Danio rerio: one gene and its partner. The protein of the gene in region 2 binds, or shares a complex with, the protein of the main gene of each other region. Links are inferred from orthologs where the notes say so. Each region holds a gene or a part of one and is shown on either strand. Other genes may lie near its edges. The genes, in order: nmt1a and aifm3.

What was found.
Region 1: the proteins of aifm3 (region 2) and nmt1a are in contact, whole or in part, in a crystal structure (PDB 6SJZ), measured with the Homo sapiens proteins. The link is inferred for Danio rerio from reciprocal best matches to the Homo sapiens genes AIFM3 and NMT1. Residues at the interface, in NP_001373743.1 of Homo sapiens: Gly2, Cys4, Phe5, Ser6, Lys7, Pro8; in NP_066565.1 of Homo sapiens: Tyr180, Val181, Glu182, Asp183, Asp184, Asp185, Phe188, Arg189, Phe190, Asn246, Thr282, Ala283, Gly284, Tyr296, His298, Phe311, Tyr401, Ser405, Ile469, Gly470, Asp471, Asn473, Leu474, Leu495, Gln496.

What each region holds. Positions count from the first base shown.
Region 1 is NC_133178.1:38,187,454-38,191,286, forward strand, and holds part of nmt1a (glycylpeptide N-tetradecanoyltransferase 1), read right to left. Parts: intron 2,844-3,833; coding exon 2,735-2,843; intron 1,585-2,734; coding exon 1,414-1,584; intron 1,285-1,413; coding exon 1,117-1,284; intron 1-1,116.
Region 2 is NC_133180.1:13,332,981-13,336,813, reverse strand, and holds part of aifm3 (apoptosis-inducing factor 3), read left to right. Parts: intron 1-584; coding exon 585-697; intron 698-1,168; coding exon 1,169-1,255; intron 1,256-1,552; coding exon 1,553-1,644; intron 1,645-3,833. UniProt on the Homo sapiens protein: Induces apoptosis through a caspase dependent pathway. Reduces mitochondrial membrane potential.

The DNA of each region.
Region 1 (3,833 bases), on a different chromosome or scaffold from region 2:
AAAATAGGTAAATGATTATTTTTGAAATATGATCATTGTGACTCATTTTGCCAGATGAACTCCAACACACACACACGTTCCTATATCCTGGTTGGGACTTTCATAGACGTAATCTACTCTACAGGCTGTATAATATTTCCCCCTACCCTGAAACCCAACTCTCACAGAAAACATTTAGCATTTTGACAATTTCAAAATACTTAATTCTGTGTGATTTATGAGATGTTTTTGCATTAAGGTCCCATTTACACTTATACATTTTAGTTTTAAAACACATTTTGCACATTTTTGTAAAGTTCAGTCTTGCATCCTTTTCTTCTAAGTTCAGACTTTGCAAGATTGATTTGGAAAACAAACTCCTAAGGACACATCGGGTAAATCTTCAAAGAGAACAGTGTACTTTATAACGTCATTCGCATCATCTTGGCATCATCTTAATAAACTGATAACATGATATAAAGAACTGTCAATTTTCATTTTGATATTAGCAACTTAACAGACACCAAAAATGTTAAGGCATCGTGTAGCTAAATATGTATAAGCATCATCTTCACTGTATGAATATTTATAATAAAACGGAGCTTAATGTTTAACAAATACATCACGTTTAACAATTTTAGTGAGATCAGATCTAGCGGTAGGTGGTTGATGAGACGTCCGACGTGCACAGCTCTCACCTGGGGTTTTGTGCTCAAAGCACCTGCTGACTGCCTGTAGCTCAGATGCGCGCATACGTTGAAGAGCATTCCAGAGTGTGTGTGGTCACGTGATGTGCATTTTTAGTGGTGTAGTGTGGACGGAGAGCTGTTCAGAAATGCTAGGTGAATGTCAGTGTGGATTGGACGTGGATTGTTTTTATTCCAAAACGCTGTTTTAAAACTAAAACGTATTTGTGTAAACAGGGCCTCAATTTTGTTCCCCCAGTAGCACAAGTCTAAATGGGTTTGTGTGTGCATTCAGGTTTTACATAAAAAACAAGTACACACACACACACACACACACACACACACACACACACAAACACACACGCACACACACACGCACACACGCACACACGCGCGCACACACACACACACACACACACACGCACAGATATGCACGCATTTAGTGACTGACCGACTTGGCGAGGATAAGAGCGTCTCCCATCAGGTCCACCAGTGGGGTGGTGGTGTGTACATTATAGAAGGAATATGCCGCCTTCAGACTGCGGTGCACAGGATGGTTCATGATGGTGGACGGCAGAGTGTAGAAACTCAGGATATCAGTCACCTTCCCATCTGTAGTCTGCAATGGATGACACAAACAGCCAGATGCTCATGACAAAGACTTTACACAAATGACCACATCATCCACTTTTACCTGCTAACAACACTATAATGTCAATATATGCAGATATATAAGGCAGTGTTGTACCTCCACTACATAGGTGTCAATGATGTTCTCCTGAGGGAGCAGCCAGTGTTGAACCTCCTCAGGGCTCATGACTGGAACCAGGTTGAACTGATTTAGGTATTCCTTCAGCAGGCGGTGAACCAGTGGGATGTCTTTTATGGTCATCGGCCTCAAACCTGCAGTCTTGGGAGCCTAAAGGAAAGAAATGAGCATTAAGGGATTATTAAGGGAAACAGGCTGGCACACACACACCAGGGCTGAACAAGCATCTATATCGCAAAGTGTGTATCTGTAATAGTTGCATCTCAGGATTAGATTATTTATTAAAGATTAAAACAAAGATATTATTAAATACGAGTTTTTGATTATTTATAAATGATGACCATGTTATTATTCATTTGATTGTTCACATTCTGTACCTGAATACTTTTAAGGTCCGTGCACACCGGGAAGCTTTTTCCGTTGACGTTTAACGCCTTGTGACTAAATAAAGGGCACCAATGTGATCATGCACATCAATGCGCAAAATGACAGACGTAAAAGCGTCATTTTTTTAAGAAACTCCTTATGCTCGTTTTTTTCCTTCTCCACTAATCAGATTGGCTCTTTTGATCACGGAGCTGCTGAAGCTACAGTAAACAGCACTTGGAGGCGCTCAAGCACAACACTGTCAATGTGAGCGCATTTTGAAAAAGATGCCCAGAGGCAATATGAACGTGGAGCTGCTTATTGCACTGGTGAACAATAATCCTTTCTTCATCGCTAGAGCTGCTACTTCAACCATCCAGGCTTGTTCGAATCGCCAGTAACTTTAACAACAAGAGTTTCAACTTTCTGACTTCTTCTTCTGTATTACAAGCGAGTTTTAGAGGCTTAAAGTTGTGTAGCGCCATCTGTCATCAAAGAGTGATTCTGCATTCTCTTCTGCTCAATGGCAGTAAAAATCGATCGGGTTTGAATCTGGAAAAATGTCTCGAAAAACGCAGACAATAAACGCAAAGGAAAAGCGTCCCATTGTGTACGAGCATTCAGACACCCAAGAAAACCCCAAAGCACTGTTTATTTTTTATTTTTGATGGTAATTTATTATATTTTATTAAGATGCACGTGCATAGAACACAACTTAATAATCACAGTCAATCTAAATGAATGAAATCTTTCCAAATAGAGCTATTTAAATCATCTGATGAAATGATATTCATATCGCAATATATATCGTGGCAAAAGAAAAACCGCAAAGCAGATTTTTCCAATATTGTGCAGTCCTAACATATACACACACACACATACACACACACACACACACACACACACACACACACACACCCACCCACACACCCACCTCTGGCAGCCGGTAGAGCTTCATGGTGCGTTGCATAGTCATGTTGCGACTAAGGTGAGAAAACTTCACCTCAATCAGCTTTCGTGGGTTCAAAGAACGGTGCCAGTATCTACCAAATAAACACAAACAAACTCATTAGTACAAAAAATGATGTAAAGTTCAAATTTCAATTATGCATTAATATACATTACAACCGCCCAGGGGCATTGCTAGACATAAAGCTCTACTAAGGCACAGCATCCCCCTAAGAAGATCAATAAACAAATAAATAAATATATATATATATATAATTATAAATAAATAGCAGTACTAATGTTATTATACAATTATGATTCTAAATAAATTACTGAAATGAATCCTGAATGTAACCGGAAAACAATCTAAAGACGCAACTGGAGTGATGCTAAGATAATTTAAGAAATCTTTTGCATTAATATTAATTTTATTAGAATGAAATGATATAGACAATTCAATAGAATACAATAAAAGATGTTTTATAGAATTATCTGTTGTGTGTTGTCTTAGACCCAACTTAAGGCCGAGAATTAGGTTTATTAAGTCTGTCCTCTCTGACTTCATCCCTCCTTTCTGCTTCATACCAAAAAATATATCAGGAGCCATGCAGTATGAATAAGATCACAATCATATTATTTTAACTTTATTTTGTCGACTTTCGAATCTCACTGCGTGCTGGTTTCACAAAGCACGAGCGGCACTGCAATTTTTTTTTAGCGTGCATGTTCACAACCGAACCTGGAGTAGAGCAGCACGTCAGCGTCAAGCAGAAGCAGTGTGCGTGAGCCACACGGGTATGTTTTTTTTTTTTTTCTGTGCACATGCTCAGTTTGCTTTTTGATTTAACTACATTGCTTTCATCAGCGTTGGTTTGGTTGCACATAGAGAATGATGTCTTTATTCTGGGATTACCACTCTTAATAAATACACTTGCATATAAAGTAAATCGTATTTCAAAGCATTTACTGGGGCACTGGCGATTTTTACTGGGGCACGTGCCCCAGTAAATGGGGTCTAGCGACACCCCCGCAACAGCATATATTAAAGTTAACAGAAGTACATAAATGGGAGTCATGTGACAATC
Region 2 (3,833 bases):
TGAATGATAATAAACATGGCTAAAATTATTAAACACTTAATTATTTATTGGACAAATAACTATAATATTGACTTTATGACTATTATGTTCCCTAAATGCCAGGTCAGTTGACATTTAGCGAATTCACGTGATGTTTTAAGTAATCCTAGTGAAACTTATAGGCTATGGCTTTTAACTTTACAATCTGCTGACCTTATCAGTTGCGCTATATATACTGTATTTAGCCTAGTAAAGCTGAATTTACCTTCAGAGTGGCTTGAATGGATAATGCACCTTGTAATGTACTTCAATGTGCAAAACAAAGCCATTTCTTAACATCATTCTTATCTCAGGCTGATTTGATTTTATTCAACTTAAAATAGCTTTATAATAGTTGTACATTTAGAAGAGACTAAGATCAAAGTTTAATTGCCACCTTTAAACATGAGACAGCGCAATTACTGGTTGTTAAGTAATAATAAAGATAAACTGTTGGAGATAACATTCAAAGCATCAGCTAAAGTCACGCATTTATATTCAGATTCAAGATAAAAGAAGAAACTTTCTGATGCTCCTGTTGACCTTATGTGGATGTTCTCACTCAGGGCCTGCTGGTCTGGTGTGTGCTGAGACACTGAGGCAGGAGGGCTTCACTGACCGTATAGTGATCTGCACCACGGACAAACATCTGCCTTACGACAGGCCTAAACTGAGTAAGGTTTGTACACAGAACAGTCCATAGAATAGTGTGGGGGAAAAAAAAAACGTTTAACCATGTAACCCTGGACCACAAAGCTATGATATTTATTCTATGATTCATTAAATGATCCAAAATGATCTGCTTTTTCCTGTATGCCGAAAATCATTACAATATTAATTAAAGATCACCTTCCTTGATGACTTTTCAAAAATGCCCTACTTTCAAAAAAATCGGATCATATTAAAGGTGATTTTCTCAGTATTTTTAAACCTTCATATTCCAGATTTTTAAATGCTTGTATCGCAACCAAATATTGTCATATCATAAATCATACAACAGCAGAATTAATTCAACTTGTATAAATCTCAGTTTGTTATGACTGGTTTTATTGTCCGGGGTCACATATTCAGTACATGATTACATGACAATTTCTTTCCAGCCGAAAGTTTCATTCCGACACTCAGACATTGATTTGATGCTTTTCTTCAGTCTTTAGAGAGCACGGCTGAACAGCTGCAGTTGCGTTCATCTGATTTCTTTCAGATGCATGACATTGAGGTATTACTGGAGAAAGAGGTGAGGTCTTTGTAGATAAAGATGAAAAAAATAACATATAAAAACATGTAAATAACATAAACATGTAAATAAATATTGTAATCTTTCAACTATGATACAAAATACTAAGGCAAATCAGACAGTAATATTGGAACTATACCCTTGTAATACATAATTTTAGGAATAATTAATTTAGTTAGTAATGTAACAGCATTTCAACAAATGACTTCTTAAATATGTTTTTGTTGTTTTTTTTTTTTGTTTTTTTTTTTACAAATGAATATTCAGAATTGCACAAATTGTCATGTTTCTGCACAGGTTGTCTCTGTGGATGTGAAGACACACACTGTGACATTTAGGGATGGGTTTAAAATGGAATATCGAAAACTCTTCATTGCCACTGGAAGCAGGTAAACATGAATACAGCTGAACTACTATTCAGGCAGGGTCCTATCATACGCCCAGTGCAATAAGGCATAACATGTTCCTAGCTCGATTTGTAGCTGTATTCAGACCAGTGTAACCCTAATTTTCATATTTTGCGCCTTGTTGTTTAAATAGCAAATGCATTTGCACCGCTTTGTGGACTCATGGCAATTCCAGTCTACAATAGAGGTGTGTTAAGGCGCATTGTTAGCGCGTTGCTATTTTGAGAAACTAAGGGTGCTTTCACACCTGTAAATTGATTAATTTGTTCCGAAACAGGAATTAAATTTGTTCCATTGTTGCTCTTTGTTCTTGGTGCGGTTTGCTTTCAAGTTTCTAAACTAACCAAAATAGCTAAAACAAGTCCCGCTCAGCTGTCATGTGTCCTTATTTTAACTTATGACGATGAGCAAAAAGACATTATAAGTGAATAGCTGCCTTTTAATTTTAAATGGTGACACCTTTAGATATCGTCAAATATAAAGCAGAGGTAAGACTTTCTCATAGATAGCAGTTGGCTTATGCATTACAGGCTTTACATTATAGAGAGAAATAACAGATAAACTAAGACTGCAGGTCGGTCAGCTTTCCTAACGGATCAACAGCTCTCGTTAATTGTTCAGCATGCTTTCACTTTCGTATTTGAAATGAAACACACATTTACCTGTTGAATGACATCCCGCCCAACTCATAATTCTCTCTTTATATAGCCATATATATGCCTATGACATGTCCATGATACGCTGTGATATAGCCGGGCTCAGATCGTATCGCCTTCTCACTACAATCGATCCACTCCAGAGTTCGTTTCAATTAAGCCCAAGAGCACCTCATTCAGGCGATCTTGGTGTGAAACACCCTAAAATAGACTGTGCTATTGAACAAGTCCAGCGCAGAGCGCGTTAGTTATGTGCGTACAGTATGCAGGATCAAACGATTAATACACACAGGATGTACAGCAATACACAAATATCTTTACAAATGAAAAAAAAAAAAGAATTAAAAATGTTTAAAAAATTATTATTTACTGCATATATATAAAAACGACTGCCTCCATGCCTTCTTTATGTCAGGGGGCTTTTTTCAGTTTATTTATGACAATTTGCTTTCGTATAATTTCCATGTTATTATTAGAACTATTATTTTATTATATGCATATTTATATTTCTTTTTATAAAAACTAGTTTAGGTTGGCGCCAGCGGTGTAGTGGTTAGTGCGTCGACACATGCACTCGCGGTGACCCGGGTTCGATTCCGCCTCGCGGTCCTATGCCGATCCTTCCCCTCTCTTTGCTCCCCATGCTTTCCTGTCAATACTCTCTACTGTCCTATCAAAAATAAAGGTGAAAACCCCCAAAAAATTATTATGAAAACTAGTTTAGATTTGACCATATGGGGCATAAGAATAGGATTTCAGTGAATTCAGTGGAGTGCACAACACAGTTTCTTCATCCACAAAAGTAAAAGTAAAGAGAAAGTAGAGAGGCCGAATGGAGAAGGCTTGTTCTTTATCCTTGCGCTGCAGATGGTCTGTTGAACTGTTTTCTAGCAAATTTACTGTTTTTTTGCAAATTACACATTATTTGACTGTAATATGAACTATATTTTACTGTAGGATATTTATGCAGCATGCTACCGAATTTTACAATTGAATTGTAAAAATTATGTATATTATATGTATAAAATATGAATATTATATGGATAAAAGTATGTATATTATTTGTATAAAAAATGTATATTTTACAGTAAAGATATACATACAATTATGTAAATATATATACAGCAAGCTAAATGGTGCTGCAAATGTAAATACAGTATGTTTGCTGTAATCTATTTACAGTAAGCTACTGACAAACTGGTGCCAGTAAGTTACCGTAGATTCTATGGAATCTAATTGATAAGTGTATGATTTATTTATATTTTTTACTCTTCTTCTGCAGTTTTTTTCAAGTGACAGATTGCTATACTGAAAATAACACTACAGCATTTCAAATAATGGAGCATTTTATTAATCTGATATCTATATTAGGGGTCACCCCTCTAAATAGGGAGAAATTGTTTGCTCTGATCTGCATCTTAAATACTAATATTACTAATTAAAGTATTAGATAATACAAACTTACATGGCGACACAGTGGCTCAGTGGTTAGCACTGTTGCCTCTGTTCAAGAAG